Linked DNA regions of Drosophila melanogaster. The protein of the gene in region 3 interacts with the protein of the main gene of each other region in a pairwise test. Each region holds a gene or a part of one and is shown on either strand. Other genes may lie near its edges.

Evidence for each region.
Region 1: the proteins of crp (region 3) and Cpr76Bb interact in a two-hybrid assay, tested with the Drosophila melanogaster proteins (one large-scale study listed by BioGRID).
Region 2: the proteins of crp (region 3) and CG14490 interact in a two-hybrid assay, tested with the Drosophila melanogaster proteins (one large-scale study listed by BioGRID).

What each region holds. Positions count from the first base shown.
Region 1 is NT_037436.4:19,518,007-19,521,040, forward strand, and holds Cpr76Bb (cuticular protein 76Bb), read left to right. Parts: upstream 1-1,642; 5' UTR 1,643-1,688; coding exon 1,689-2,285; 3' UTR 2,286-2,413; downstream 2,414-3,034. Other genes in the region: Cpr76Ba (cuticular protein 76Ba), read right to left, coding at 1-269.
Region 2 is NT_033778.4:17,858,748-17,862,230, reverse strand, and holds CG14490 (uncharacterized protein), read right to left. Parts: upstream 1,472-3,483; 5' UTR 1,433-1,471; coding exon 1,024-1,432; intron 959-1,023; exon of another isoform or gene 903-958; coding exon 718-902; 3' UTR 640-717; downstream 1-639. Other genes in the region: thr (three rows), read left to right, coding at 1-633; orai, read right to left, coding at 2,437-2,973.
Region 3 is NT_033779.5:16,284,702-16,289,792, reverse strand, and holds the start of crp (cropped), read left to right. Parts: upstream 1-2,062; 5' UTR 2,063-2,603; coding exon 2,604-2,695; intron 2,696-5,091. Other genes in the region: pkaap, read right to left, coding at 1-650, 921-1,193, 1,322-1,349.

The DNA.
Region 1 (3,034 bases), on a different chromosome or scaffold from region 3:
TGGCTCCACTGGTGGTGGCTATCGTGCGCAGCGACTGGAGCCCACTGCTGGTGGTGATGATCCTGAACTGTGCCCCATGAATGGGCCTTTGGGACATCCACCCATTGGTGGTGAGCCTGGTGGTGATCCTGCCACTGCTTGGGCGCCTCGTGATGCGTCTGGATGCTGTACCCCACGCCGTGTTCGTGACTATATCCACCATGAGGGATGTAGCTAGCAGCAGCCACTCCCAGAAGTGCGCAGCAGAGGATGCTCAATTGGTGGGCCATTTTCGTTGGTTTCTGATTGACTTGCCTGGCCTAAATCACGATTGGAACTGTTATAATCACCAGACAATGCCCAATGCTTTTATACTTCTGGCCATTCTATGGATCGATTAATTACATTTTAGACTGCGGGCTAAATAGGCTAGAAAAAAGTAAGAGCCCCAAAAATGGGTATAAAAAATGCTTCGAATTTTTGTGCAAATTTTCATTTTTCCCCATTCGTATTCATAGTCTTGGGCGGTCGGTCGATTGGCAAATTAAAACTTGCCAGAAACAACAACATCATCATTAAGCGGGGCGTGAACATCGCTCAAATGCTTGAAAAACGCAAAGCTTTTCGATTTTGTTGCTTAGAAATCAATCAACAAGTGTGGCCCGCTTTCAAATTGCTCAGCAATAGCCGCCTCGCCTCGCCTCGCTGCGTTTCCACGGTTGGACCCTCTTTTTCGCCTACTTCACTCCAAATGACCTTGAGACGGACGGTGCGGTAAGGGGCTGAGAAGGGGAGGGCAGCGTTGGGCGGACCGTCCAATCGGTTGGTGTTTCTGACCAGGGGGTCTGCTGTGGGGCACCCAGAGCTTCCGAATTGGTGTTAACTTACCGATAGTGTTTTTTAATGCATATAATTTACAAGGCTAATAGACTTTAAGCTCGGAAATTTGAAATGCGTGAAAATATAAGCATATTGGTATTTAGCCTACGTTATCTGATGTTAATTATTTTTAAGACGTTTATTTGCATAAATTGTTTCGCTATCTATAGGAATAACATGCATATTAAATAAAAAGAAATCCTGTAGTTCAAGTTTTAAAACTACTAATAACTATATAATAAATATAATGTTGAAGCCAACAGATTTCTAGGAAAAACACATAATTATTTATAGCAAAATAGGTTCGCTTTGGATATTTACATAAGGATTTCAAAGTACAACACTACAAAGTTTATTTATTGGTTAGTTTAACAGCATTTCCTTATTTCTTCAAGCAAAAGCTGCCGCCTTCATCAGTTCACATTCTCAGTCATAATTAATTTTTGTAAATTAAGCAATAAGTTCTTGCCTTAGTTTTTCCCTTCTCTTTGACTGAATACCAAACACATCGAACGATCTAACAAAAACTTTTTGGATCTGATATTATTAATTATTACTAGCAGAATTTAATTGTAACGGATTGGACTTTAAATAAAATGTGCCGATTTTCTATAGAGCTCAATGGCCGAAACAATAATAATAAGTACGAGTTAGTGAGGTAATTATCAAATCAGCTAGCTCGATTGGTGAATGGTGTGGCCAAGAGAATGACCACCCGATGGTTGATTGCCCCAGAGTCTTCGATAGCTATATATAGTCTAGGTGAGCTCCCCAAGAACCAGCAGACATCATCAAAGTTCCGATTGGAAAACAGCGAATAAGTGACCGATATGAAATCCTTTAGCGGAGGTCTGTTCTTTGCCCTTCTGGTGGGAGCCAGTTGGGCAGCTCCCCATGGTGGACACGCCACCAGCTACAGTTCGGTGACCAAGCACGAAGGACCCGTCCACAAGAGCCTGGGCTACGGATACGATCACGATGTGGTCAGCGCTTACGGTGGCATCTACGGACACGGCTATCCGAGTGTCGGCCATTCGGGCTACGGATACGGATACGACAAGCACGAGCCCCATCACTATCCCAAGTACCAATTCGACTACGGCGTCAAGGATGCCCACACCGGAGACCAGAAGAGCCAGTGGGAGACGCGGGATGGCGACAAGGTCAAGGGCAGCTACTCCCTCAAGGAATCGGATGGCACCACCCGAGTGGTGGAGTACACCGCCGATGACCACAATGGCTTCAACGCAGTGGTAAAGAAGCTCGGCCACGCCCACCACCCCCAGGTCTACCACAAGGGCTACGGACACGGCGATATCTACGACGCCGACTACGGCTACGGTCACGATGTGGCGCAATATGGCGGATACGGATACGGACACGGAGGCCACGCCAGTAGCTACGTAAGCGTGAAGCAGCTGCACTAAGCAACCAAAATGCGGACTCACCCGGCGAAAACGATCTGGAATCATCATTAGTTAACAATGCAACGAACTTACCTAACTAAAGCCAACTTTTTACAAGTGTAGTATTGACGATATTTATATTTGTATTGAAATAAATAAGCGTAGCTGTTTATAATCAAGAAGGGACGACATTTACTATTTATACAATTATAAATTATTATAAATTATTTATACCTTTATCTACTAGATAGAAAAGGTTAGTAAATACCTTATGAGACAGAAATATCTTATTAAGGTATGAAAAATATATGGAAATGCATTAAAAAGTGGTGTCCGCCTTGCGAATGAGTCTCTGGGAAGTTTTCCCAAGTCACAAGCACTTGATTTTGATACGGATTAGCAGGATTAACTGGCCAAGTGGAGACACGACAAACTCGCAGAGCAAATCGCCATTAATTTATGTAAAGTCGAAACGTAATGCTGGCAGGTATAAATTTTATAATGCCATTAGACAGCTGCAGCGAAGCGTCGACGACGACTTTTACTTGCCGCTCGGCGGCGCCTGAAACCAAAAGTTGGGGCGCCCAAATCGGGGGAGCATGGGATATATACAACATATGTATATATAAGTTCGTGCAGCATATATGGATATAGATAGCTTGGCGGTATCGCGGCTCAAACGGGTTTCGGAACGAGGAGCTCCCGGACGGCAAATAATTGTCAATTAGACCGAGCTTAGGAAGCGACAAACAAAGCAGCTGCAATCTGCT
Region 2 (3,483 bases), on a different chromosome or scaffold from region 3:
TACAATTTTTTGGCTCAGCTAAAGACGGCTCAGTTAGAACTCAAACCCGTGGGTCAGGATAAGCCACAGGTCAAAATCCTTCGACGTGCTTTGGTATTCAATCACTCACCCGAAGATAAGAAACGAACCGCAATAGGATCGGTTTCAGCAGTCAAGAATACGGCGTCTAAAGTTAAACAGTCGGCCAAAAAGGCACCTCGATTCAGAATTTACGAGGAGCTGGAACTACGACCACCAAGTGCTACCAGTTGCAGTAGCAGCGGTGGCAGCGGAACAGAGAATACACCGCCTTCGGATCACGTGGATCTAAATGCCTGCCAAGCGATCGAGATAAGCGACGATGACGATTCACCTTTGGTGTCCACAAAGAAGACACAACCAAAAAGTAGGGAGAAGGCAAAACCCAAGGCCACATCCAAAGCTTGTAAAGTCCTAACATTGGATAATAGCTTGGAAATAGTAGAAACGCCGACAATAACTACAAGTACACGGAGCACCAGAGCCAGGCTGCGCCAACCAGTAGAGACACCAAAGACAGCGACTCTTTCATCCAAGCGAACGAGGCGCCAGGTTTTGGAAGCACAGGCTCCCGAAACGGAGTCCATTAGCACACGCACACGGCATCGGCACTGATTAGATAGTAGTCTCCTTAGTTCGTATTTATTCTTATCGAAAATGTCTTGGTATTTAAATATATATATATATTGTGTGTAAGTGTTACAAAAGAGCTTTTGACATAAATTCATTGTTTTTATCTTGTGGCAGGGACAGTAGTGACGTTCTACAGATGTCCTTGCTCCAAAAACCGTGCTGAATCCGCTGTCCATTGCTGGCATGGTAAAATACACCTGAGCCCGATTTGCAGCCTCCTTCAAATTGACCCACGTAGCGATTTCCCGTTGCTATGGATAACATATTAACTTATTATCTATAATCTTTATGCATTTTTAAAGTTGCGAAAAAATAAATAAAATGAAACAAATACATCCAAAGGAACATATCTTATTTCTTTATCACACTCACCCGTGAAAAGTAAACCCTTTTCGTGCATCTTGTCCCGAAGCCACTCGCCCACATAGATGCCGCCATCCGCCTGCCATAGGATGCCCTCTCCACTTCGCTGGTCCGCTAGCCACTGACCAAAGTAGACGGATCCGTCCGGATAGAACTGCTTGCCCTCGCCACTCCGCTTGTTCTCCCGCCACTGACCCACGTAGATGCGTTCCATGCGGCCATCGAGCTCCTTGCGACGCAAACTTCCGATGCCATGCCGTTGACCCTTCTGCCAGTGACCCTCGTAGACAAGTCCACTGCTCGTTTGCTTTACCCCAAACCCGTGAGGCTGCTGGCCCAACCATTTGCCCTGGTACTGCCCACCAGGATAACGTTGAGAGCGAACTCCACTACTATATCCGCTCGTACGCGACGACATGTCTTCGATGACTGAGCGCGGGAGCAAGTCCGTCCAATTGCGGCGGTGCCATGTGGTGTCGTCCGACTTTAGGCGGCGGTGTGCGTGCGGTGGTGTCACTTGTCTAATCGAACCCCCCCAGCCAGCAGCAGCATGTCTTGCCACCATTTGGCTTCCTCCAGCAGCGACACGCTAACTTAAGGAGGCCAAAGACATTGGCTCAATAGAAAATCGTTTGTTCCGGTTAAGTGTATGTAGTAAAAATCGTTTAATCAGTCGTATATAAATTACAGCGCTATTTAGCTTACATCGGTAAAGATCGAAAATAGACTGTTATATTTTCCAAAACTATTGGAATACCTATGAATATAATTCGTATATAAATATTGCAGTACATTTTCAAATACTTTATTTTACAATTGTTTTATGTTGCATATAAAATATATCAAATTGTCTCTAAAATTTTGCATTCTTTTAATCCGCATCTATTGTTCAGCTATATATCACGATTAAAAATAAAACTCCAACACCATATATATAGAAAATTCTTTTAATCATAAATTATATGGTATAAATTACAGCGCGGTTTCGCTTACACAATTGGCTTAATATTAAATTTGACAATCAAGTTGTGTCTTAAACGTAAAAAGGGAAGACTGCCTAAGGATGGTTGCAAAAAAAGAAAATCCGGCATGGCATACAATTTAAAATACACGCAATATAAATATGTAACAAATATCAGCTAATTTTTTGAGGAATATTCATCCGAAGTATTGCTTTAATTGGGGTCTTTTATCATTGTCAATATCCGTGCTAATCCGCAATTGCCATAAGTAAAATAAAGGACTACAGCAGCACTCGCACATATATATATATATATAGTAGAAATCTACTGAATTCCGCGTATCACAATTTTAATCAACTACAAATTTACAATATGTGTGTTTCACTAAAAATAATCTGAAGCTTACCCTGAGCCGCTGTCTTTTTCGTTCGATCCACTTGTGCGGATACGCCAAGTGATGCTAGACAATGTCCCCGGATGCGCCATAGTTCATGCCATTATTTCGTATGTTATTGTGATGCTCCAAATGATCCTGCTCCATCTGCTCCTTGAGCATCTCCAGCTCACGGATGCCCGAGACTGTCACCTCATATTTGTGCGACACCAGGGAGCGATAGAAGTGAATGGCGAAGGCCATAAAGATGATCATCACCGGTATGAGGACCACACACGCTGACCAAGCCGCCGGCGGACTTAGGTCATAGAATTTCACCCAGCACAGGATGGCTATCTCCAGTAGAAAGAGTATGAGTCCCAGCAGCGTGGAGAATGCCCACGCCGTTTCAATGTACCAATGGAGACGCTCGTGTGGCGATTCGTGGACCAGGGAAATACTATGCAAATTACACACCGTCTCAATATTTGGCAGGATACAGGTGCTGATCATCAGGGCCAGCATGTGCACCGCCACCAGGAGGGTGGTGCAGATGGCGAAGGCTATCAGCATGCCCGGTGGTACATTCGTATCGTGATCCAGTTGCACCTCCACCATCGCCACCTATGTGAAAATTGCAAAAGTGAAGAAAGTCATTAATGATTTTTATTTAATTTTGGTTAGAAATCGAAACGATTCCCCGGCATCGCCTCTTATTATTATTAGCCATTTCTCGCGAGAACATTGCAAAATTGGCAAATAAGCAACTTTTCTCTTATATTATGTGATCTGAATGGACCTAATTTATCTGATCCGCCCCTAATGCCGCGCCTCCCTTTCTTCAGCATGCTAGGTGTACATGTGGAATGCATAACAAGTTGATGAACCAAAAAAAAAAAGCGACATATAAATACCTCGTCACTCAATTAATTAATATAATAATTCAGCACCTGCAATACTTGCACATTTTCCAATTGATTTATTTAATATTATGTACTGCATACTATAATTTAATAATTTATCTAGATTTAACTGTGTCGTGTGTGGAATTGCTAGACAATAAGTGGGAATTTTAACAATGCTGGGAAACCAACGAATGTATCATGATGTATGTTGATATTTGCTTTGATATTT
Region 3 (5,091 bases):
GCCGCCTTCGATCAACTCCAGACAGTATGTAGAATAGTAGCCGCTCTGTAGAAATCCCTGCACATGATCCCGCTCCAGCTGCTCCAGCACAAACTCTCTAGCTTCGTCAAAGCAGCTGGCCGGAATTGGTTTGCTACACTCGGACTTATCCCTTCCGCAAAGTAGCAGCGATATATGCGCAAGGATGACGATGGGCAGCTCCACTTGCAGGCTGGCGTTCACTATCAGATACTTTTGGTATATGGCAATGGCATCGCTGATGCTGGCCCGCGATAGCTCGGCGTTCAGCACACTATCCGTTCCAGACTTTTGCCTATTGAGCTGCTTGTTGGTCTCCGCATAGATGCGGCTCTTCTCGTCGTCTGTGAGGGGTTTGCGCATTGACAGATCGCACAGCGTCTTCAATTCAGGTACATCTTTGTCATCTTTGTGCGGAGAAGATTGTTCTATTGCCTTGCGAGGAGGTTCCTCTGGTTCCTCCTTCTCTTGCGTCAGAGCCGCCCGCTTAAAGTTCTCAATGTCCAAGTAGAATTTGATCAGCGGCAGGGCCTGTCGGGTGTCCAGATACTGAACAAAGTAGCTCAGGCAGTTCGGATCGTTGACGATGGAAGCGAGATTCATGGAGAGGCGTGAGTTGTAGGTGAAAATGTCTGGGAAGAAAGCAAAAGGTATAGTTATATAGTAAAGCATAAATGCCAATTGCCATATGTGAATGAGTTTCAAGATTACAACAATTACAACTATTATGTAGACACACTTTTAAGGATTTTCGATACGTGGAATCGCTCCTTATAAGCATTAACAGTGTTATCTACGTTTTATCATGGAAAGTCGAGAATAACGCTGCGATTTGCCAATCATTTCAGTTTCAAAGGTGCCAACGTGATGAGCAATTGAACAATGGGCAATGAGGTAATTACCATCGTTGCTGGCGAGACTGATGCCATCGGAGGGGGCTCCTCCACCACCACCACCACCTCCTCCTCCTCCTCCTCCTCCTGTGGTTCCCACGCCGCCCTCCTCCTCCGCTTCTAGGAACACTTCGTCGCAGAAACTGGTTGTGGAGCGCAGCGAGTGTCGTTTGTGAGCGTTGGCTGCATCACCAGCTCCAGCAACGTCGTTGGTGTCCACATCATACGCTGGCATTTGGCCACAAATGGCATCCGTGGCATCTTGGCTGCTGCGACGTCGGCCTAAATAAAAATCAACAAAAAACCAAATATAATTGGTGTCAACAGAAGAGGAAGAGGGGTGAAGAAGAAACGGGGAAGGGGAGTTGGGTGAAAACAGCAGCGAAATTTCTTTAATTTCTTTAACTCACTGGCGTGCCTCTTGATGTAATTTAACATCTTTACATTCTCCGGCTTTCGGTTGATTCGAGAAGTGCTTCTTGTGCTTCAAAATGCCGATTAACTGGAGATTCGATGAAATAATTTAATGCAGTGCGACGGTAAATATTATGAAAATGGTTTTAGGCGATAGGGTTTTTTTTGCGACCTAATCTTTTTAATTTTTTTTCGCTGGCTGGCCACTCTGTTTGCACAGTTTTGGGTTGAGTCTTTGCTAAAAGGATTCGAAACCAATCTTAACGAACAGCGAATTCAAGCGGCGAAAAGCGAACTCACAGAAACACAGCGAATATTAACGGCGAAAAGCGAATTCATAATACTGGGCGAATTTTCGCTGCGGAAAGAAAATTCATAATACCGGTTGGCTAATAGCGGCGAAAACATAATTCACAATATTCACAAAGAAAATGTAGAAATTGCGCTTATTTCGATGTTTAAATATTGTAATACTTAAATATTTGGAGTTCAGTTTTAGTTTAAAATTAATAAAGTTATGAAATTTTTTGGGACAACGCGGTCTTCAATTTTTGCAAATTTACCCATTCAGATGGCGTATTGGTGGATATAAACATTAAGCAGATAGGTGGCGCCTTAGCAAACGAAAATTCAGTGTTGTGAAGCGCAAAAATACGAAATATCGCAGTGGCATCAATGTAATCGATAGTGCCATCAATGTATTTCCCTATGTGCGATTTTTTCCTTGGCAGCCGTGGTCACTCTGCTGTTTATCGCCGAATTGAACGCACGTAGCGGACCGGACGGATATCGCATCTTCCGATCGGAAAAATCGTACAGTGCAGCCAATTCGCCGTCTACAGAAATCTATTAGCGCGCGTGTGTTGGTGCCAGTGCGGTGGCAAATTAAAACAAAAAACATCTGCGAATTTGAATACGCAAATCTCATGCTCACTAAGAGCGCAAAAGTCATAGAGTGCAGAATAGTGAATTGAAGAACTTTTGGACGCGCTAAGAGTCGCTCTCCATCCCCATCTCTCTCTCTCTCTCTTGTGTGTGCAGTGCTAGTGTGTGCGAGTGTGAGTGAGACGGGCAAACAATTTGCCGCTAAATACAAAAAGCAGCTGAGACCAGCTGACGCATGTGTATGTTCGAAATACAATAAAGTTAACAGGCTATAAATAAATTGCAAATGTTTATGTAGCCGTCAAGCAGCAGCAGTAGCAGCGCAACAACAAAAACCACGTGGCACAGACATTTTGGCCACGATAGTAAGCAAATACACAAACACGATTAAACATGTCCGCCGTACCGGTTGCCATCAAAACGGAGGAAGTTATTCTAGAGCACGCCGAATACAACAGCGCCGAGGAATTGGATGAGGAATTGCAGTAAGTTTGCATCTTAATCGAAATCTCTTTTGTTTCAAATAAAAACAAGGCGAGTCAACAGCTTGGCTTGCATTTTTATCACGCAAATTATTGATTATTTTTACTACTTTGCTAGTGCTCTCCCTTTTCTCCGTCACCGTATCACTCGCGCTCTCTCTAATTCTCTCGTTTGCTTTTTGCCGCCGTTTTGCCGACAAAACAAATACGGCACAAAAACACCACCACCATTAAGACCCATCTCTCACTCACACACATGCAAGCTAGCGTGTGTCGCATTCCATTCCATTTCCATGCCGTTTTCTTGTTGCTGGAATAAATGTGCTCCTTTTTTGTCTCGTCGTTCGTGTCTGTGCCCCCTTCTCAACATCCTCTCTTTTTTTCCGCCGCTCTCGTCCAGCGTTTGTGTTGTTGCTGTTTTTACGCTCTGCCTTTCGGCGTCCATATTGTAAAACGGCTGTTTTGTCAATTTGTCAGCAGTGTCGGCAGACGGGCAACAGTGATGGCACAAACATGAGTCAAGGGTACAGCTGTTAGAAACGATGATTTTTTATTTGCTTTAACTTTAGAAGTGTAGAGTTCAGTAGAAGCCACAATATTAAAAATACATTTTTGGTTTTTCTATACTATTATGGAGGTGTATTTTTAGTTTCTCAAATATTTGTACCTTTGATACATATGTATGATACATAAATGACTTTAAGCGATCTTTTGAAATAATTTTGTATGTTTTTATTTTCACCATTTTGCTTTTTCCTAAAATATTTGGTTTAATTTGTTACAGCTGCTTTTGCTATTTTCTGTGTTCGTCGATCGCGTTTCGCTCTCAGCTCCTCTCTCTCTTCTCAGGCTCTTTCCTATTCTGCTGCTCTTGCTCTAGCTCATATGTTCAAATTAATGGAGGTAGAAAACAGCTGCGCACCCGCACTCCCTCTCTCTTTCTCGCCTCCTCGCTTATCGTGCGTTGCCTAATCAACATTTCTATTTCTTCTTTCGCGTTCATAGTTGAAATGAAATCAGCTGTACCGGTAAATTCGTATCATCAGATGATTTTGCTTCGACTTTATTTACATGCTTCTCCCTTTTCCTTTGCTCTCTTTGCTTATCTCTTTTTACACCGAAAGCAAAATGGATCTAATTTAAAGATCAGTTTGCTGAGTTTAATTAACAATTTGAAAGAAATGACACAATACGAGTTCATTTTCTTACCATTATCCACATCGATTTAGATATGTATCTCTAATATTCCTTTCAGATAAATGGGGCTCCATTTTTCTCTCTGTGTACTCAAGGAATGAGTGTACCGAGAAATGTCGAAAATAAGTTGACTAAGAAATAAATGTATTATTTTAATTTCTTATTTTCCCTCTTACTTTTCTTTCGATCGTTTTCCTTTCGCAAATATGTCACAGGTTTTCAGAGCGAAAGTTTCTTTTTCCCTTGCCGGCTTATCAGAATCATATGGTAGCGCTTTTCGCTTTTCACACGTCATAAGCGGCGCCTTTTCTTATCGCACGAGCATATGTTTTTGCACAACGCCGAAGAGAATCGGAAATATATACATATGTATGCGATTGCACACTTATACTAATCCGTTTCAGCTGGCTTTTCAAGACTTTTATTTCAGCTTGCGTATATACCGGGTAAATAAATATTTTAAACTCGGCAAAATGCCACATGTTTTTGCTGCTGCATTAAAACCAGTACTTCCTCTGTGTTTTATGGATCTATTTAGTATTTCGAAATAGTTGGTAGGAAAATACAAGCATTTCGTAAACGCACGTATAGGGACTATTCAAATACAAATAAAACCAATTGTTATGCATACATTAAGTTAAACCAGTAGACGTAATTAAAATACGATTATATTTTATGAAAATCTAAAAAGCTGTTCACAAAACTTCAAGGCTACATTTCTATTTTAAACCAATCAATTGCAGAATAGATAGATAACCGTTAAAACTTCGAAGGTGGCACGGTTATTTTTGCCACCAGTGTGGACGGTATAACAACTGCGTTTTAGCAGCTGCTGTCTGTTTGTTGTTGGTGCTAAAATAAAAGAGCGTGCCTTGGCTAAAAGTCTCCACCTCTATCTTTCTCTCTCTCTCCCTCTCTCAATTCCATCCGTTGCACATTTGCGAATACTACGAAAGCATGTGTTGTGGCTGCTATTGTTGTTGGCACGGTTCTGTTTGTGTGGCGTCATTTCCGTTTTTACCCCACTCGACTGGAAAAGAGGAGCAGAGAGTGCGAGAGTGAAACAGAGCGTCCTCAACTCTTTCTTTTTCCGTCTCGCTCTCACTGCAGTTTTATAAGAGCCGCTCCCCAGTTGATCGAAGTACATAAGCAGCGGGAGAGAAAGAGAGCCCCATTTGAGTTGCACTCAAAGCCAAAAGCTT